4 linked regions of the Arabidopsis thaliana genome follow. The protein of the gene in region 3 interacts with the protein of the main gene of each other region in a pairwise test. Each region holds a gene or a part of one and is shown on either strand. Other genes may lie near its edges. The genes, in order: AAP8, NRAMP4, PUP3 and AT3G05350.

Evidence for each region.
Region 1: the proteins of PUP3 (region 3) and AAP8 interact in a protein complementation assay, tested with the Arabidopsis thaliana proteins (one large-scale study listed by BioGRID).
Region 2: the proteins of PUP3 (region 3) and NRAMP4 interact in a protein complementation assay, tested with the Arabidopsis thaliana proteins (one large-scale study listed by BioGRID).
Region 4: the proteins of PUP3 (region 3) and AT3G05350 interact in a protein complementation assay, tested with the Arabidopsis thaliana proteins (one large-scale study listed by BioGRID).

Annotation. Positions count from the first base shown.
Region 1 is NC_003070.9:3,264,346-3,269,347, forward strand, and holds AAP8 (amino acid permease 8), read left to right. Parts: upstream 1-1,540; 5' UTR 1,541-1,627; coding exon 1,628-1,952; intron 1,953-2,633; coding exon 2,634-2,727; intron 2,728-2,841; coding exon 2,842-3,056; intron 3,057-3,154; coding exon 3,155-3,297; intron 3,298-3,535; coding exon 3,536-3,763; intron 3,764-3,955; coding exon 3,956-4,381; 3' UTR 4,382-4,478; downstream 4,479-5,002. Other genes in the region: AT1G10000 (Ribonuclease H-like superfamily protein), read right to left, coding at 1-443. UniProt on the Arabidopsis thaliana protein: Amino acid-proton symporter. Stereospecific transporter with a broad specificity for glutamate, aspartate and neutral and acidic amino acids.
Region 2 is NC_003076.8:26,859,412-26,864,434, forward strand, and holds NRAMP4 (natural resistance associated macrophage protein 4), read left to right. Parts: upstream 1-1,854; 5' UTR 1,855-2,410; coding exon 2,411-2,934; intron 2,935-3,071; coding exon 3,072-3,208; intron 3,209-3,291; coding exon 3,292-4,169; 3' UTR 4,170-4,486; downstream 4,487-5,023. Other genes in the region: HOS15 (WD-40 repeat family protein), read left to right, coding at 228-386, 474-595, 708-782, 866-919, 1,015-1,088, 1,189-1,263, 1,344-1,563. UniProt on the Arabidopsis thaliana protein: Vacuolar metal transporter involved in intracellular metal homeostasis. Can transport iron (Fe), manganese (Mn) and cadmium (Cd). Regulates metal accumulation under Fe starvation.
Region 3 is NC_003070.9:9,859,778-9,863,231, reverse strand, and holds PUP3 (purine permease 3), read left to right. Parts: upstream 1-1,663; 5' UTR 1,664-1,797; coding exon 1,798-2,487; intron 2,488-2,563; coding exon 2,564-2,929; 3' UTR 2,930-2,941; downstream 2,942-3,454. Other genes in the region: PUP1 (purine permease 1), read left to right, coding at 670-1,032; ATJ1 (DNAJ heat shock family protein), read right to left, coding at 3,255-3,339. UniProt on the Arabidopsis thaliana protein: May be involved in transport of purine derivatives during pollen germination and tube elongation.
Region 4 is NC_003074.8:1,527,884-1,535,486, reverse strand, and holds the start of AT3G05350 (Metallopeptidase M24 family protein), read left to right. Parts: upstream 1-1,577; 5' UTR 1,578-1,643; coding exon 1,644-1,970; intron 1,971-2,125; exon of another isoform or gene 2,126-2,226; coding exon of another isoform or gene 2,227-4,587; exon of another isoform or gene 4,588-4,819; intron 4,820-5,230; coding exon 5,231-5,356; intron 5,357-5,458; coding exon 5,459-5,578; intron 5,579-5,681; coding exon 5,682-5,957; intron 5,958-6,076; coding exon 6,077-6,249; intron 6,250-6,322; coding exon 6,323-6,577; intron 6,578-6,807; coding exon 6,808-6,959; intron 6,960-7,062; coding exon 7,063-7,253; intron 7,254-7,364; coding exon 7,365-7,473; intron 7,474-7,561; coding exon 7,562-7,603. Other genes in the region: AT3G05365 (uncharacterized protein), read left to right, coding at 395-501, 780-919, 1,017-1,111; RLP30 (receptor like protein 30), read left to right, coding at 2,227-4,587. UniProt on the Arabidopsis thaliana protein: Catalyzes the removal of a penultimate prolyl residue from the N-termini of peptides, such as Arg-Pro-Pro.

The sequences.
Region 1 (5,002 bases), 6.6 Mb from region 3:
GGGGTCGCTACACGAACTTTTGGGAGCGCCAATTGGGCGGATTGCCACGCTAAGGCATCCTGAACCGCCTTTGTAACAGTCTCTATCACAGAGAAATGAGAATTTTGGAAGATAAGCTGATTTCTGGCTTTCCAGATGTGCCAACAGATCCAGGGGAAGAGGGTTGCTGTATGAATCCCAACCGGGGGGAGAACGATGGTTTTCTTAAGTAAGTTAAGAGCTTCCAAAATAGGGGTACCGATAGGGATGTGACCCAATTGGAGGGGCGCTAGGTTCCAAACTTGTGCCGCAAAATCACAGTGAAACAGCATGTGGGTGGAAGTCTCCGGAGCCCCACAGCGTGCACAATCCCAAGTTGATGATATATGCCTTCTTACGAGTTGTGCACCCACAGGGAGAGCTCCTGCAGCCGCCTTCCATAGGAAAAGTTTGATCTTCGGCATAGTGTGGAGTTTCCAAAGGTTTGCTTGCCAGTTAAAGCGGACCTGAGCTGTTGGTAGCACTGTCAAGGATGTTACCCCGTAACCTGATCTTGAGGTATACTCTCCAGATTTTACCGGTAACCAGACCAATTTATCCACACCCCTACTTGAGGGCACAGGGAGCTGTCTGATGAGCTGTTCATAGTCAGGTAGGAGGTCAACGTACCGTACTTTAATGGTGTAATATGCGACATTTATTATGTGTCATTTTAGATATCTGATTCTGTCTCGACAATTGGGATGGGCATTTTATGGATATAGTTAGAATGGGATTTTATTCGAAGGAATATTTTGTGGATATATTTTAAAATAATCCACTAAAAAATCAGGTTTATGTTGGTCAAAATCCATATTTAATACGACAAAATACAACATTGAATTCATTAATTGTGCACAAATTACGGATTGTGAGATAAGACTATAAGAGTGAAAGAAACGATAAGAAGTAATGAAGACTCAAAATCGTACATAATTGAAATTAGTGAAATTTATGGTTTGGTTTACATGTTTTTGTAAACCGTTAAAATAGTAGTAAAATATAATACAAACATGTAAATCCACATAATTTTGTATTTGATGCGATACTAATAACAAAATGTTGTAGATATATCATAATATTTAGTTGATACAACAATATATATATATAGATTCACATCAATACATCATTATAACTCAATGTTAATGATTTAATTTCCCGATTAATGAATCATGTGCATGTGAGGATTTGAGAAGATAAATGAGCAAGATAGAAGAGAGGATATAGCTATGCAAGAGGCCAAGATCTGAAGGAAATATCTCTCTGTTTTACTCATCTAATTTTAATCAGTTACCTAATTTCGATTATTCGTAGTGTCGTTAATGTAGGTAAATCCTCTTTTCAACATGCGGACCAATTTTTGTTTCCGGAATAAGCAATAGTGGTTACACATTCAAAATCAAAGTCAAAAGAAATAAATCCTCGTAATAGAAGATTCTCTTAATAAATAAGATTCAACGTACAAAGATGCTCTTTCCATATAAACATCGATATTTGTGTATATAATACATGTAAGTACGTGATTGTGAGGGAGTACTCTAATAAGACGACCTCTGTCAATAACTCTCTTCCCCTCTCTTCTCTCCTCTGGTTCAGTGGTTCTCTCACAATGATGGACGCATACAACAATCCCTCGGCGGTGGAGTCGGGTGACGCCGCCGTGAAAAGCGTCGACGACGATGGTCGAGAGAAGAGAACGGGAACATTTTGGACGGCGAGTGCGCACATAATCACGGCGGTCATAGGCTCAGGGGTGCTGTCGTTGGCTTGGGCTATAGCACAGCTTGGTTGGGTGGCAGGAACCACAGTTTTGGTCGCTTTCGCCATCATTACTTACTACACGTCCACCTTGCTCGCCGACTGTTACCGTTCGCCGGACTCCATCACCGGAACACGCAACTATAATTACATGGGCGTCGTCCGATCTTACCTTGGTATGGATTCATATAAACAAATTCATTTTGTGTCTTTATCAGCATTGTTTTTCACAGATTTTTCAGTTTTCTAGACATTTTTTCTCAGATGAACAAGGATTTTGTTCATTTGATATCATTTAGATTTTGCCTAACTAGTCTCAATTTAGGACATGTGTTTTGATTTTCTTCCATTTCTGTCACAATGATGATGGCTGGCGAAAGAAAAAAAATCTGATCTAAAAATATATATTTAATGCTAAGTTGGAATTTGTAAATCTACAGTATAATTGGCTCATTTCAACAATTTTTTACCATGTAAATTTGTTGAAGAACATTATTGTTGTTGAACAATGAAAGAAAAAAATATGGTTGTTAGAAAAAAATGATTTACGATTTTGCCAAGTGTGCATGCTCTTTCATGGGAAGATATGAATTAATTATCAAAATCTATATAAAAAAAAGGAAGATAATCTTCATTCTTTCATAACTTAGTTAATAAATTAAATTGATTAGGATTGGTAACATAGTCAATTCAATTTATCCCGTTAAAGAATGTTATAAATTCGATTGTTGACCCCTCGTTGAAAATTTGGAATTATGCGGGATGTTTAGAAACTTTGCCATAAGACCAAAAGATTGGTAGTATTTGATAGTAGTACAAGAGTAATCATTTTTCTTCTTTAATAACATAAAACGCAGGTGGTAAAAAGGTTCAGCTATGTGGAGTGGCACAGTACGTGAATCTCGTAGGGGTCACTATTGGTTACACCATCACTGCCTCCATAAGCTTAGTGTAAGTCAAAGATTCTGATTTATTTCGATTATTTTGTTATGGTTATACTAACATGTTGTTCTGAATAAAATTACTAATAATTGTTTGATTGGTGTTTTTGTACGTCTTCGTTAGAGCGATTGGGAAATCAAATTGTTATCATGACAAGGGACATAAAGCGAAATGTTCTGTATCGAATTATCCATACATGGCGGCATTTGGGATCGTCCAGATCATTCTGAGCCAGCTTCCTAACTTCCACAAGCTCTCTTTCCTATCCATCATCGCCGCGGTTATGTCCTTCTCTTATGCGTCTATCGGAATAGGCCTAGCCATCGCTACTGTAGCAAGTACATTCCCCTTCTTTATCTTAAAACATAGTGGTTTATATGGATGATTCTTCAAAGTTGACACTAACCGTGAAAATGGTATACAATATATATGAAAGGTGGGAAGATTGGTAAGACAGAATTGACAGGGACAGTGATAGGTGTGGACGTAACTGCGTCTGAAAAAGTTTGGAAATTGTTTCAAGCGATTGGAGACATTGCCTTTTCATACGCTTTTACCACTATTCTCATCGAGATTCAGGCATGTACTACTGATTCCTACTATCTTCCGTTTACTATTGTTTTCATTTGCTTGTTATTATTAATTTCGCCAAAGAGAGGTAAAATAAGAATACCTTGAAGATAAGATGTTATTATTAATTAGACAGTTAGGAAAAAATATAGATGGATGGATGATGGATAAAAATAGTTTCATATTTTAGATATGTGAAGCTCTAAAGATAGTGACGCTCTAGTAGTATGTCTTGTTTATTTTGCAGGACACATTGAGATCAAGCCCACCAGAGAACAAAGTGATGAAACGAGCAAGTCTTGTCGGAGTCTCAACCACAACTGTTTTCTACATCTTGTGTGGTTGCATCGGATATGCTGCGTTCGGCAACCAAGCCCCTGGTGACTTCCTTACCGATTTTGGTTTTTACGAACCTTATTGGCTCATCGACTTTGCCAATGCTTGCATTGCTCTCCATCTAATAGGTGCCTATCAGGTATAACTCACAAACAAAAGAATAGGATAAGTGTGTAACATACATTTACCGTGTTCAAGTTCATTAAAAGTCTCATTATTGTGTTAGAATTTTTAGCTTTAACAATTCAGAAGATTGTAGAAATGGAGTTATTACTAAATATTGTTTCTAAAAAATGCTCTTTTTTTTTTTTTATCCCTGTATTATTCGCAGGTGTATGCGCAGCCGTTTTTCCAGTTTGTTGAGGAAAACTGCAACAAAAAATGGCCTCAAAGCAATTTCATCAACAAAGAATACTCGTCAAAGGTTCCTTTGCTTGGAAAATGTCGTGTCAACCTCTTCAGACTGGTTTGGAGGACATGCTATGTTGTTTTGACAACATTTGTAGCAATGATATTCCCCTTCTTCAATGCGATCTTGGGTTTGCTAGGGGCATTCGCGTTCTGGCCACTCACAGTTTATTTTCCGGTGGCAATGCACATTGCGCAGGCTAAAGTCAAGAAGTATTCTCGTAGATGGTTGGCCTTGAACCTCCTCGTATTGGTTTGCTTGATCGTCTCGGCCCTTGCCGCCGTAGGATCCATCATTGGCTTAATTAATAGTGTCAAGTCATACAAGCCCTTCAAGAATTTAGACTAGTGTGACTTATAATCTATGTTTGCCAAAAAAAAACCTTGTGATCCATATGAATTATATGAAATTTATTTCATGCTAAATATTTAGTACTTAATGTTTCTCCAAATAATGTGACGTTCTGTTTTCAGCTATGTTAAAAACCAAAATGCTAACTTATGTATTAGTACTAAAATTTATGAAAATGTATTAGTTATTGATTTATTTTTAGGACTACAATTATTGAATCAACATTGGATGTTTGAGTCCCATGAGATATGGATTTCAGCTTTTTTCAAATTCGTGTGGTTGTGTCAATTTCGAGTTATTATTATTTATTTTGCTTAATGGAATTGTCGGGGAAATCTTGAAAACAGACACTCACAGATTGTGTAATTTATTTGGTTTGGTGTGTCCTACATAAGTTGCTATCACATCTTATGTATTGGAGGAGTTGGGCAATAGAGGATCAAGGCAAGTTTGGTTTTCTATTAACGTTTCTACTCTGCATTTGCTTACAAAGTCATTTTCAAGGTTTTGTGGTCGTATGTCACTTGATGGCTACCATCATAACCGCCATGTAACCAAACAATTGCCTTGCGGTTACCTACCCATATGGCGCATCTAACCAAGAGATGCATCCCCTAA
Region 2 (5,023 bases), on a different chromosome or scaffold from region 3:
TGTTTCCTTCTAGCGTGAGCTACAAATTGTGATGTTCGAGTTGTGTGGGCTTTTGATAGTAACACGACACAAGATTGAAACAATAAAAGCTATCAGCTAGTAAAAAACATTATAACTCTGCATTGGGTATCATATCCTTGGCCAAAAACATTTACTCCACCTTCTGTTATGTATTGGAGAGTCAGCTTCTAAATTACAAATTACGTCTTTCTTTTTCACATTTCCAGGTGAACTGATAAGTACTCTTAGCAAACACAAGGGACCTATTTTTTCCCTTAAGTGGAACAAGAAGGGGGACTATCTTCTAACCGGTAGTGTTGATAGAACTGCTGTTGTTTGGGACGTAAAGGCAGAGGAGTGGAAGCAACAATTTGAATTTCATTCAGGTGCAATTTTATTTCTTTTTTGATTAAACATCAATTTGAATCAATTTCTCATGCATATGACATGGAATGAATTTTTTTTGAAAATAGGTCCAACACTTGATGTTGATTGGCGCAACAATGTATCTTTTGCAACGAGTTCCACGGACAGCATGATCTACTTATGTAAGATTGGAGAAACTAGGCCTGCCAAAACCTTTACTGGGCATCAGGTTTGTATCTGTCATCCAAGTTTCTCCCATATCGTATCAGTATGTTTAGTTTTCTCAGTCGCAAGTAACAAATGTCTGGTACTAACCAAACCCATGGCTTCCATAATGGCAGGGTGAGGTCAACTGTGTGAAATGGGATCCTACTGGTTCATTATTGGCCTCATGCTCAGATGATAGTACTGCTAAGGTTCTTTGAATTAACTTGAGCATATTCTACATTTCTTTAAGTTTCTCTCTGCCTCTTTTTATAAATGTATATTTTTTCTTCAGATATGGAATATAAAACAAAGCACCTTTGTTCATGACCTCCGAGAGCATACTAAGGTAAATCCATAAATCCTCAAAAGTCTTAAGGAAATTTCAAATATATTTTTGGATTTTGAATAGCCTCTAAAGATGGATATTAATCTTCTCTTTAGGAAATTTATACAATCAGATGGAGCCCTACAGGACCAGGAACTAACAATCCTAACAAACAGCTAACTCTTGCAAGGTTACAACACGCTTTAAACATTGAATACTTTAAAAACAAAGCGTCATTGTAACATATCATTCATCATCTCTGTGTTGTTGTTGTTGTTTGAATGGAACAGTGCATCATTTGACTCAACAGTAAAGCTATGGGATGCAGAACTCGGGAAGATGCTCTGTAGTTTCAATGGACACAGGTAAAAGTTAAACCTCAATGTACTTTTGCGGGGTTTAGCTGTAAACCGTTGGTTATAAGTTTCGTTGTTGTGATATGAAGGGAACCGGTTTACTCACTGGCGTTTAGTCCAAACGGGGAGTACATAGCGAGTGGGTCTTTGGACAAATCGATACACATATGGTCGATTAAAGAAGGTAAAATCGTAAAGACATACACAGGAAATGGAGGGATATTCGAAGTGTGTTGGAACAAAGAAGGTAACAAAATCGCAGCTTGCTTCGCTGATAACTCAGTTTGCGTTCTTGATTTCAGAATGTAGTTTTCTTAATTGTAGTCCTAATAACACTCTCTCAGTCCAAGGTGTTTCTTTTTGTTGTTGCACATATCTATAAGTTATAACACTAAATTCGAAAGATGAAACTGTACTTGAGATTATTTTTGTTATTTTATCTATCATTGCAACTTTTGGGTTGACTGACGAGTAACAATGAATTGAAAGAAAACAAACTGCATAAGATTACAAGGGTTACTACATCCATATCTTTGAATTTAGACCACAAAGCTAGATTTGAATTGAAAGTGATGTAATGCAATTGAGATATGAGGACATCAACTATGAAGGTGTCTTTATGTAGTAGTAGTAAACCGTTGGGTGAAACAGTGAAAGTGGATGATGGCGCGTGGCGAGAGCTGACGGATTCGTGTAACCCCCAGGCCAAACACGTTTCTACTTCTACTTAACCCATTCCCTTTATTTATTTTTGTTTCTGTTCACCACGTCGCATTTTTTAATCTGTAATCATCACCATTAATATGGTCGACCAAACTAGTAATTTCCTTGAGCACCATACTTTTGTGTGAGGATAATGAGACTCCCAAGAAGAAGACTCGATAATCCCCAAGTTACACGTTCTCTCGACTTATTGACAAATCTATCCCTGCGCTTATTTACCATTCACATATACTGCCACTTCTTATTCTGACGTGGCGTAATAGTATTGGATAAAACGGTATTATCTACCCCTAAGTCGATTATAGTATATATATAAAGCAACAAAGCAGTTGCAAATTTCAAGATAGTCGTCACTTTAGTCGCAGCACCACCACCAATTTCGAATTTAGCATTTCTGAATTCCGACTCTGAGAATCGGCGGTTACCGGGAAATATGTCGGAGACTGATAGAGAGCGTCCGTTATTAGCATCGGAGGAGAGAGCTTATGAAGAAACCGAGAAAGTTCTCATAGTCGGAATCGACGAAGAAGAAGACGCTGATTACGACGATGACCCCGGAAACTCTCCTAAATTCTCATGGAAGAAGCTTTGGCTATTCACTGGACCTGGTTTTCTGATGAGTATCGCTTTCCTCGATCCAGGTAATCTCGAGAGCGATCTTCAAGCTGGAGCCATCGCTGGTTACTCTTTGATTTGGCTATTGATGTGGGCTACGGCGATTGGGCTTCTGATTCAACTTCTATCTGCCCGTCTCGGTGTGGCGACGGGTAGACATCTGGCGGAGTTGTGTCGAGAAGAGTATCCGACTTGGGCAAGGATGGTGCTTTGGATTATGGCGGAGATTGCTTTGATCGGAGCTGATATTCAGGAAGTTATTGGTAGTGCTATAGCTATCAAGATCTTGTCTAATGGATTGGTTCCTCTTTGGGCTGGTGTTGTTATCACTGCTCTTGATTGGTAAGTGTTTTTTTTTTTCTCAATTTGGTTATTGATTTAGGAAAAACCCTAATTTTTGGAATTTAGGGTTCTTTATTATTGTTTGTTTGGTATCTTTAGTTTTGATCCTAACATTGTGTGTGATGGGTTAATTGCAGTTTCATCTTTCTATTTTTGGAGAATTATGGAATAAGGAAACTAGAAGCTGTGTTTGCTATTTTGATTGCAACAATGGCTCTTGCATTTGCTTGGATGTTTGGTCAGACGAAACCCAGTGGAACTGAGCTCCTTGTTGGTGAGACTCTAAATATTCCTTTCTTTTGTCTAGTGTGTGGAGATGGGAGTACAAAAATGGTAACTGTTCATGTTTTTTAACAGGAGCATTGGTCCCTAAGCTTAGCTCCAGGACTATCAAACAAGCTGTTGGTATTGTGGGATGTATTATCATGCCTCACAATGTGTTCTTGCATTCAGCACTTGTGCAATCCAGAGAAGTCGATCCGAAAAAGAGATTCCGGGTCAAAGAAGCTCTCAAGTACTACTCCATTGAATCCACTGGTGCTCTTGCGGTTTCTTTCATTATCAACGTCTTTGTGACCACGGTGTTTGCCAAGTCGTTTTACGGGACAGAGATAGCGGACACCATCGGTCTTGCAAATGCTGGACAGTACTTACAGGACAAATACGGGGGTGGGTTTTTCCCGATACTGTATATATGGGCGATTGGAGTCTTAGCTGCTGGTCAGAGTAGTACCATCACAGGTACGTACGCCGGACAGTTTATAATGGGAGGGTTCTTGAATCTCAAGATGAAGAAATGGGTTAGAGCCTTGATCACAAGAAGCTGTGCAATCATACCAACAATGATCGTGGCGCTTGTCTTTGATTCATCGGATTCTATGCTTGATGAGCTCAACGAATGGCTAAACGTTCTTCAATCGGTTCAGATCCCTTTCGCTGTGATCCCACTCCTTTGCTTGGTCTCCAATGAGCAAATCATGGGCAGTTTCAAAATTCAACCTTTAGTCCAAACAATCTCATGGATAGTAGCTGCTCTTGTGATAGCCATTAATGGGTATCTAATGGTGGATTTCTTCTCAGGAGCTGCAACGAATTTGATTTTGCTTGTGCCAGTGATCATATTCGCAATTGCTTATGTTGTGTTTGTACTTTACCTTATCTCACGAGGACTCACGTACACTCCTTGGCAACTAGTGGCTTCTTCACATAAAGAACCACAGAGGGATGATGAGTGAGTAAAGGAAAAGCAAAGAGACCTTTTCATTGAAGAATAAGAATAAGAGAGATTGCTCTTTTTAGTGAAACAAACAATAGAAAGTTGAGTTTCAGTATGGTAACAAAACAATGTCCTGATGTATTTGTATTATAGTGTTTTATGGTTTTTAGAGTATAGCTTTGGAAGAATCCGAATCGTATCGTTTGTGTAAAACTTCCGGCGTTTCTTAGAATTTTGGCAGAAATAAAACGTAAACATGAAGTTCCTTCTTCAGATGTGCGTTATTTCATTTTCTTTTAGATAGATTTTTTTTTTTTGGGTTTAAGTATATAAGTTAAAAAAAAAATCTTAATATTTATACATTTAGATATCTTGATGTTTTTCAAAGTAATAACGTGAACTCTGGTTTTGAATTTCTTAGAGAAAAAAAAAATGGTCAAAAATGGGGAAGAAATGGTCAAAGATTAATGGAAACGCGCTCGCATTTAATTTGATGTTTAAAGGTCACAAACAATGTTTAGTCGTTTAGGGGAAATTCATGCACAATTTCTTTGATGCCACGATAAGCTTTGATTGCAAATTTAAGTTAAAAAAAATTCTGGAAGCTAGTTTTATCATTTGATAATGAAAATTTCCTGGCAAACGAGAGTCGAGTCGAGTCGAGGTATTTAAATACATCACGTAAGTTTCGTTAACTGCCCCAAATTAAATTAAAAACACAGGAGCAGCTTCTCCTAATCCAAAATCCAAAAAAACAAACATCAAAAAGTCAAAAATTAAAATATTTAAATACATAACCTACCTAACAAGGTTTGACGCAAAACCCGCCACGAGTCTAACGCATTTATTAAGAGAAAGTATGCACCAAAAATA
Region 3 (3,454 bases):
TAATTATCTAATCATTTACTTATGTAATAAGTAATTATTCTTAGTATTAAAATATATTTTTTCTAACAACATTCTCAACAATGCATTATACACACAATTCCTAAACAATGTTCATCTTAAACTAATTAAATAGAGGGTAATACTGGAATTCTCGAAACCTAAGAATTTGATGATTAAATTTCTTACATACTCTTCACCCTCGGCGATTTATTATATAGATATATAACAATATGCAAACTATTCAAACTATTAACTAATCCATGACTACTATACACTCATAATTTGAGTTAAGATTACAGAAAAAAATCTTCTGAGTATGAGAAAACCAATAAAATTATTTTATTGAACAACATGTAATAACAAAATAAATTTAGTATTAGTACAATTAAATATGTAAAATTAAATAATAAATACATCATTAATCTATAAATTAAAAGTTGAAAGCTTACATTAATTATTATGTGGACACATGGCACATGTTAAAGTGATGATGTGTCAATCATATGGAGAGAGTTGGCCAACTTTCATATATATGATTTGTCTTCCTTATCTTTTATTAGAAACATTATTTAAAAATTGTTCAAACCTTTATCCTGTATTTCCATATCTATTTAAAATTATGATTAAACTTGAGAATCAACTAAAATCATCATCATACATGTTTTGTAGGTGATAGCAAGAGAAGCAAGAGAGTTCAAGATTGGAGGATCAGTGTTTTACTATGCATTGATAGTGATCACAGGAATAATATGGCAAGGTTTCTTCTTAGGAGCCATAGGGATTGTGTTTTGTGCATCATCACTAGCTTCTGGTGTTCTGATAAGTGTTCTGCTTCCGGTGACTGAAGTTTTCGCCGTCGTTTGTTTCCGGGAGAAGTTTCAGGCAGAGAAAGGTGTCTCTCTACTTCTTTCTCTTTGGGGATTTGTCTCTTACTTCTACGGCGAGTTTAAATCCGGCAAGAAAGTTGTTGATAAACCTCAACCGCCGGAGACAGAACTGCCTATTCTTCCTGTTAGTGATTATGTTGCTTAATTTCTATAACTCTATAGGATTATAACAGAGCATTACTGTTATGTTTTGTTCCTAATATTATGTGTGATTGTGTGTTTTGTTATTGTTCTTGTGTATAAGTATGAATAAATTTGAAAGATATTGAGCTATTTGATAAATGCAAATTTTAATACACTTGTAGTAGAAATAGAATGATAATGATAAGTAAAAGATAGGATATTTCGTATTTGATAAAATCACATCCTATTTATCGATTTTATAAAATAAACATTTCACACTTTTAATTTAAGATTAATATAATTTATCTATTTAATATAAAAATTTGTATATAAATCAAAGAACTAATATAGAAAGAAGAAGAGAAAACAAAAGAGATAGAGTCAAAGAACCAATTAACCATCCTTAAAATCTTCTAATTATAGAGAGAATTATGAACTGAAAATCTTAATGTCATTGCACTAAATTTAGAAAGAAATAAATCCAATAATCAAAACTGTAGAATTTGATGGAAACGTAAATTAATATGAGAGATATGATATTATCTGGTCTATAAGATAATTACTACGTTTTTTATACGAAATTAAACAGTTAGCAAAATTTATGGGTATAAAATAGGAAAAGTCATGTTTTAGCCATTGAAGCCTCGTTAGGTAAAAAGAAACACAAAGATCTATCACGACAGAATCTAAAACCGGACCAAATTTGTTCCAAAACACAGCAACACCAAACCTTATAACTAACTCCTTCGACCACCAACCTTCATTATCCACAAGAAATCAGACAAGAATGGTGAAGGCTCTTGTGATCATAAACTGCATAATTCTAGCCATAGGAAACTGTGGAGGTCCTTTGATTATGCGTCTCTACTTCAACAATGGCGGTAAAAGGATTTGGTTCTCTACGTTTCTTGAAACTGCAGGCTTTCCTGTTATCTTCATTCCTCTGCTCTTCTCTTACATTACCCGGCGCAGAAGCAACAATGTGGGTGATAGTACAAGTTTCTTTCTTATCAAACCGCGTCTTCTTATCGCCGCTGTTATTGTAGGCATTCTCTCAGGGTTTGATAACTACTTGTATGCATATGGTATAGCTTATCTTCCAGTTTCTACAGCTGCTCTTATCATTGCTTCACAGTTAGCTTTTATAGCTATCTTCTCATTCTTCATGGTTAAACATAAGTTCACTCCTTTTACCATCAATGCTGTTGTGTTGTTGACTGTTGGTGCTGCGGTTTTGGGAATGCATACCGAAACTGATAAGCCAGTTCATGAGACTCACAAGCAGTACATAACTGGTTTCTTGATTACTGTAGCAGCAGCTGTTATGTATGCTTTCATCTTGCCATTAGTGGAACTTGCTTACCAGAAAGCTAAGCAAACCATGAGCTATACCCTTGTGCTCGAGTTCCAGTTGATTTTGTGTCTCCTTGCTTCTATTGTCAGCGTCATCGGTATGTTCATCGCTGGTGATTTCAAGGTTAGTCACTCTTTTGAATCTGAAAACATACAAAAGAGTTTTTAACAGAGACTTGAGCCCTTTACTGTTTTTGCAGGCCTTACCAAAAGAAGCAAGAGAGTTCAAGCTTGGAGAGGCATTGTTCTATGTGGTGGCTGTGTTTTCAGCCATCATATGGCAAGGCTTCTTCTTGGGAGCCATTGGATTAATCTTCTCCACATCGTCTCTCGTCTCGGGTATTATGATATCAGTGCTTTTGCCAATTACAGAGGTTTTAGCTGTTATATTCTACCATGAAAAGTTTCAAGCTGAGAAGGGACTTTCTCTTGCTCTCTCCCTTTGGGGCTTTGTCTCTTACTTTTATGGTGAGATAAAGTCTGGCGAGGATAAAAGGAGAATTCAGCAGGAGGAGAGTCAGGAGACAGAACAATCTTCTTTGTCAAGACCCATAAGTGAGTGTTAAAACTCAACGAAGCATGGCTTTTCGTTTAAAGACATCATAGCACTCATTTCTCCGCCAAGTAGATTAGAAGATATGTTTGAGAAACTTGTGGGATTATGCCGAAAACACAATCTTAAAGGACTTTTTTTTTTCTTTTCTTTATTTCAGCTTAACTTGTTTGATGTCTCTTATTATTCACATCAAATGAGTTTGTAATAGAATTATGAGGTCAAACAATGACACTCTCTGTTATGCTGGTGAGCTTTTTGTTCTACCAGCAATAGATGAAATTAGTCTTCATTTGTCTTCTGTTGAATGCTTTTATCTTTCATCTCTCGTGGTGGCTTCATCCCATTAACCTGCTCAACAATAGCGCCAGCAGCACCATTAACGAGAAGTCGCGGATGATCTGAGGACCCGTTAGATTCCACCTGTAAGTTCAACCAGTAGAGAGCTTCTGGTAAAGCCTGTTTGGTTCATATTCATGATTCTTCATTACTATAAGGAACAATCGCTAGTGAGGAAATAACATTCAGTTGAATCAAA
Region 4 (7,603 bases), on a different chromosome or scaffold from region 3:
GGAGGAGGATAGGAGCTATATGTCTACTATTTTTATTTTTTTAGCCAATGAGAGAGCTCCACTTCATACCCCACTTTTACCAATCGAGCGATTTCACAACCAGTCTCACCCATGTCGCGTTGAGCGCGTGTCTACGATTTCTAAAGGGGTTTGTCCACAGAAATCATGCCTTTTTTGATCCACGCAACTCACTCTCAAAAATCCATCGCGTGTCTTATTTTTTTTGGTTTTCTTCTCTAAACCAAATTAAACCGAACCGAGATCAATTTGAATTTCAAAACCAATGTAAACCCATCAAACCCATCGCTGTGAAAACAAAAAGCTCGGCCACTGTAACAACAAAAATGGAGACGACACAACTTGGAAGAGAAATCAACTCTAAATAGCCAAGAGAATGTTCGAAAACCCCCTCAAATCCGATGCTTCCTTTGATTCCAACCTCCAAAAGCCCATCTGCTCAAATCTTCATTTCGAGGATGAGGACTCGAGGAGTATTACAAGGTACCTCAATAGAATCAATGGCTTCCATGGATTTTGAAACTTTACTTCTAATAAACACCATTGTAATGTCTTGTTGTGAAGTTGTGTAAGGAACAAAGGATAGTGAAAGCTGAAGAGTGGGATTCGTTTATGGAGTTTCAGAGTTTTTTTTGACTAAGTGGCCTCTGTTTTTGATTCTTCAGTGGTCAATTTTGTGATGGGATTTGATTGAAATTGGAGAATGATTTCATGAAATCTCTTCGGGCTGAGGTTGATTCATGACTCTTTCATTTTTCTAGTGTCTCATTGATGATAGACATAAGAAGCATACTTAAGGCCATAGAGAGTGGTGAATTGGAGGCAATCAAGCCTTTGCCTTGGTACCCTAAGAATCTTTCTTTTCACGGAAGGAGATTAGAAAAAACCAGATACTTGAGAGGTACATTTTCATGCCAGTTGCTTCAGAACAAGTATTCACTTCCATTCCCTTACTTGTGTTAGTTCAGCGCTTGAGAAATATTATGATCTTGTTTCAGACTTTCAGCTGTCAAGAGACAAGGCCCGTTTTACTATCAGGTTAAAATCATGGTCAGCTTCTTGTCCCAAACCACATTGTTGCAAGGTTTTGTAATAAATCTTGGCTCGATAATGCATTCAGAAACTTCTTCTACTCATATCTCAAAATATGTTTTGAATTCTAAACCCCATGGTTATCAATATAAAGAATATTAGTATCTATTTTTCTCTTTTCTGGTGTGGTTGCAATTTATCGTTTGTCTCTTTCGTGGAAACCCTTAATTCAGGCGGTATTAAGTCTTTCTCATAAAACTTTCTAAGTCAAACCAAAATTCCAATCGAAATTCTCAGCATGAAAGTCTCGAACACGTTTACATTTCTTACGCACCCAAAGACTCTTGCTTCTTGCACACGTCTCTCTTGGCTGTCCTTTACCATAACGAATTTGATGAGATTGTTTCAAAATAAAATGTTTCTTTTTGACAAGTCTGGGATTTTAATGTAATTATCAATAGTCATGCACATTATACAACATTTAAAAGAATACGGGGGTTGTTTTGCAATTTTCAGTAGTTATACACATTTATCCGTAATCACTCTGCTCAAGAAGCTTCTCCTCTTGTGTGATTCTCCTGCAATCGCTGGTGATGATTCCTCTAACTCTTTCGTCGCCGTCTCTGAATCGGCTCGTTTTATCCACATCACGTTACTCACACTCTCTATTTCTCAGCAATTTCAATTCGCTCTCTCTGATCCACCGGAAATTACCGTATAAACCTCTTTTTGGCGCAAGGTGTCATGCTAGTAGCAGCAGCAGCAGCTCTTCCTCCTTCACGGCAAAGTCTTCCAAAGAGATTCGTAAAGCTCAAACCAAAGTAGTTGTCGACGAGAAGCTTAGCTCGATCCGGCGACTGTTTTCGGAGCCGGGTGTTGGAATCGACGCTTATATCATACCTTCACAAGATGCACATCAGGTTCTCTTTTTTTAAACCTCTTCTTAACTCGTGATTACGAATTGAATAGGAAGTTCTAGTAGATTCAAAACTGTTCAATTGTGTGTGTTTTTAAGTCAATTATTGGTCCAAGTGGGCAAGTTTGACTATAGAAAGGAGTAGGTAGAAGTCTACTAGAGAGCTGCAAATTTGTGTTTTGTTTTCTATTTTTCTCTCTCTCTAAATAGAGACGTAGAAGCCATAGCTATCATAACCTGTTACTTACAAAACAAACAAAATGATTCCAAGCCAATCTAATTCCTTTTCTGGTAGTGTTATTACCTTGTATTTCTTCCTCCTGGGTTCCCTTGTTCTACGCACTCTTGCTTCTTCTAGGCTTCACTATTGCCGCCATGACCAAAGGGATGCTCTTCTCGAGTTCAAACACGAGTTTCCGGTAAGTGAATCGAAGCCAAGTCCATCGTTGAGTTCATGGAACAAGACTAGTGATTGCTGTTTTTGGGAGGGTGTCACGTGCGATGATGAATCTGGCGAGGTGGTTTCACTTGACCTTAGTTATGTCCTTCTCAACAACTCTTTGAAACCAACTAGTGGTCTTTTCAAACTCCAACAACTCCAGAACCTGACTCTCAGTGATTGCCATCTCTATGGAGAGGTTACTTCTTCACTAGGAAACCTTTCTCGTCTCACGCATCTTGACCTTTCGAGTAATCAGCTGACAGGTGAAGTTCTGGCTTCGGTCAGTAAGCTAAACCAACTTAGAGACCTTTTACTTTCCGAAAACAGTTTTAGTGGTAACATTCCTACTTCATTTACCAATTTAACGAAGCTTTCTAGTTTAGACATCTCTAGCAATCAGTTCACATTGGAAAATTTCTCTTTCATACTACCAAATTTAACCAGCTTGTCCTCCTTAAACGTTGCCTCTAATCACTTTAAATCCACGCTTCCATCTGATATGAGTGGACTCCACAACTTGAAATATTTTGATGTGCGTGAGAATTCATTTGTCGGGACTTTTCCTACATCCTTATTCACGATTCCTTCGTTACAAATTGTTTATTTGGAAGGAAACCAGTTCATGGGACCTATAAAGTTTGGGAATATATCTTCATCTTCTAGGCTTTGGGATCTAAACCTTGCTGATAACAAATTCGATGGGCCAATCCCTGAATATATATCTGAAATTCACAGTCTCATAGTACTAGATCTTAGCCACAACAACTTAGTTGGGCCAATCCCCACTTCTATATCAAAGTTGGTCAACCTTCAGCATCTTAGTCTTTCAAACAATACCTTGGAAGGCGAAGTGCCAGGTTGCTTATGGGGATTGATGACAGTGACACTTTCCCACAATTCTTTCAACAGTTTTGGAAAGTCATCATCCGGAGCTTTGGATGGAGAATCAATGCAGGAGTTGGATCTTGGTTCGAATTCACTTGGAGGACCTTTTCCCCATTGGATCTGCAAGCAAAGGTTCTTAAAGTACTTAGACTTGTCCAACAATCTCTTCAACGGCTCAATTCCTCCTTGTTTGAAAAATTCCACTTATTGGCTTAAAGGGCTAGTTCTGCGTAACAACAGCTTCAGCGGATTTCTCCCAGACGTATTTGTCAATGCTAGCATGTTATTATCACTTGACGTTAGCTACAACCGGTTGGAGGGAAAACTTCCAAAATCCCTGATCAATTGCACTGGTATGGAACTTCTGAATGTGGGAAGCAACATAATCAAGGACACTTTTCCATCCTGGTTGGTTTCTTTGCCATCATTACGTGTCCTCATCCTCAGATCTAATGCATTCTATGGGTCGTTATATTATGACCACATATCTTTTGGGTTTCAACATTTGAGACTCATTGATATATCACAGAATGGCTTCAGTGGAACTTTGTCACCTTTATATTTCTCCAATTGGCGTGAGATGGTGACATCTGTCTTAGAAGAAAACGGCTCTAATATAGGTACAGAGGATTGGTACATGGGCGAGAAAGGGCCCGAGTTCAGCCATAGTAATTCGATGACTATGATATATAAAGGAGTAGAAACGGACTTCTTGCGGATCCCATATTTCTTCAGAGCCATTGACTTTTCTGGAAACAGATTTTTTGGGAATATACCTGAATCCGTTGGTTTGTTGAAGGAATTGCGTCTTCTCAATTTGTCAGGTAACTCATTCACAAGCAATATCCCTCAGTCATTGGCAAATTTGACAAATCTTGAGACATTGGACCTATCCCGGAATCAGCTATCAGGTCACATCCCTCGAGATCTTGGTAGCCTCTCTTTTCTGTCGACCATGAATTTCTCCCATAACCTTCTCGAAGGTCCAGTTCCACTAGGCACTCAGTTTCAAAGCCAACATTGTTCTACATTCATGGACAACCTCAGACTCTACGGTCTTGAGAAAATCTGTGGAAAAGCTCATGCCCCGAGTTCTACACCACTAGAATCCGAGGAATTTTCGGAACCAGAAGAACAAGTGATTAACTGGATAGCAGCGGCAATAGCCTACGGACCTGGTGTGTTTTGTGGATTAGTTATTGGACATATCTTCTTTACTGCACACAAACACGAGTGGTTCATGGAAAAATTCCATCGAAACAAGCGCAGAGTAGTCACCACAAGTGCTCGTTGAACACCATCACCTCTCACAATTTCTCTGAGTGATTGTGAAACGTATATGTTTGTTATGATATCTGTCAGTTGTGTTATGCATAAACTCTTTGTCTTTGTAATTTTCTACTTTATGGTATTGTAAGAAACGGCTTTGGTGGTATCTGATCTTCTATATGTTGGGTTGAAAATGCATTCAGATTTTTCTTCCTAGTCAAATCTCAACTTGTCATAAGAGGATGTTTCAATTGTAGAGCCAAATGGAAGTTCTTCTTCTTCTAAATCACAGTATGAAATTCTCCAACTCGTGTTTTATTTCATTCTCCCCAAAGTTTCTTGCTCCGCTCACACGTCAATCTTGCTGTCCCTGAGTATACCAAATTCGATTTGGAGATTCAAGATAAAAAATAAATATGATTTGGACCAGTGCGGGGGTTGTTATGCATCTATGCAATTGTTTTTGCCATTTTGATATGGGTAATGTGTTGTTTCGGTGAATTTTACATACTAGGAGCTTAAGATCTACTTTCATAACTGATGTTGCCTGTAATATATTTCTGTGCCATTAGGAAAGTCACAAATTTATGTTTTACTTCTAAATGTATCCATAAACTGCCTGAGTTTTTCATGGCTTGAGTGTGATTTTTCTCCATATTTTGTACTAGAGCGAGTTCATCGCAGAGTGCTATGCCAGGAGGGCTTATATATCAGGATTTACTGGAAGTGCTGGTACCGCTGTTGTCACCAAGGATAAGGCAGCTCTATGGACAGATGGCCGCTATTTTCTTCAGGTTTTGATCATTATCGTCCTTTAAAATTATTTGATTGCCATCTCATATTGAAAGGAAATGTGGAGTTTCTTATCTACATTCTCTGCAATTATTCTATCAAAGGCGGAGAAGCAATTAAACTCTAGTTGGATTCTCATGCGGGCTGGTAATCCGGGAGTCCCCACGGCGAGTGAATGGATAGCTGATGTTTTGGCGCCTGGTGGAAGAGTTGGTATTGACCCTGTAAGCTATTATTAAACCTTCTAAATTGTGTCTCCTTTTGTCCTTAAATATTGTAGTTTGTGGTTTGTTATTTACAAGACTTTGGAATTCATGAAGGGAGCAGTTCCTTTTTTCCGCCGATGCTGCTGAGGAATTGAAGGAGGTTATAGCAAAGAAGAATCATGAGTTGGTTTACTTGTACAATGTAAATCTTGTGGATGAGATATGGAAGGACTCAAGGCCAAAGCCTCCAAGCAGACAAATAAGGATACATGACTTGAAGTATGCTGGTTTAGATGTGGCCTCGAAATTGTTGTCTTTGAGGAACCAAATTATGGATGCTGGCACATCTGCCATTGTAATATCCATGCTTGATGAGATTGCATGGGTGCTTAATCTGGTAATACTCTAGCATAGCATCTTACATTTGAATCTGTTAGTTTTGTGCCACTGATATCAGCTTATCCTTCACATAGGTCCCAATGTATTGATGTTGTATTCTGCCTCTTCTGACTGCAGAGAGGGAGCGATGTTCCACATTCACCTGTAATGTACGCATATCTGATTGTAGAGGTTGACCAAGCCCAACTTTTTGTAGATAATTCTAAAGTAACGGTGGAGGTGAAAGATCATTTGAAAAACGCAGGGATCGAACTTAGACCTTACGATTCCATTCTTCAAGGAATAGATAGGTAAGTACTTGATTGTCCATGTCCATTTATGAACTTCAGAAAAAGGAATTTCCCTCACTTTGAGTTTTCTCAGTTTGGCAGCACGAGGAGCTCAGCTCTTGATGGATCCATCAACCCTCAACGTAGCTATCATTAGTACCTACAAATCTGCCTGTGAAAGATATTCGAGGAATTTTGAAAGCGAAGCCAAAGTTAAGACAAAGTTTACTGATAGCTCCAGCGGATATACTGCCAATCCTTCTGGTATTTACATGCAATCTCCTATTTCGTGGGCAAAGGCCATTAAAAATGATGCTGAGCTAAAGGGAATGAAGAATTCTCACTTGAGGTAAAGAAAGCCATTGCTTTTACGATATTTTCCTAATCCAACTGCCTTTATAGGATTCAACTTTTCTCTGGAAGATTTTGGTTTCTTTTGTACTTTCAAATGCTAAGTATCTTAGGCTGACCAAATATATATGGAGAAATGCTGCTGCTCTAGCTCATTTCTGGAAAATTTTGGTTTCTTTTTTTCCTATGTATGGGAAATGTCTTTGGCTGACCACTTATTTTATGCAGAGATGCTGCTGCCCTAGCTCATTTCTGGGCTTGGCTGGAAGAAGAAGTGCATAAGAATGCGAATCTAACAGAGGTCGATGTGGCTGACAGGCTTCTTGAATTCCGTTCAATGCAAGATGGTTTTATGGATACAAGCTTTGATACAATAAGTGGTATGGTTATTGTCACCCTTGTTGGTGGAACTTGCTTCTTAACACATAGTCAATATACAGCCAGTGAGTGATATGTATTCCTTTCCTCTAATTACCCATGCAGGTTCCGGTGCAAATGGTGCTATTATACATTATAAGCCCGAGCCTGAGAGCTGCAGTCGTGTAGACCCTCAAAAACTTTTTTTGCTGGATAGTGGCGCTCAATATGTTGATGGAACAACAGACATCACCAGAACAGTACATTTTAGTGAACCTTCTGCCCGTGAAAAGGAATGTTTCACTCGAGTCTTGCAGGTGGAATATTTGGCTCTTCTTTTCCTCATCATTTTTGATGACCATTGACTACCTATATTGAACAGACGAACCTGTATGGGTTGCCTTGTCTGATTGGTATTTTGGTTGTAGGGTCATATAGCTCTTGATCAAGCCGTGTTCCCAGAAGGTACTCCTGGTTTTGTATTGGATGGGTTTGCACGCTCTTCTCTATGGAAAATTGGACTTGATTACCGCCATGGTACTCTATTCTATCTTTTGACTCTTCTTCCCAGAACAACTTTTTTGTAAGGAACTCATATTACTCTGATATTTTGCCTGCCAAACAGGGACAGGACACGGCGTAGGTGCTGCACTCAATGTGCATGAAG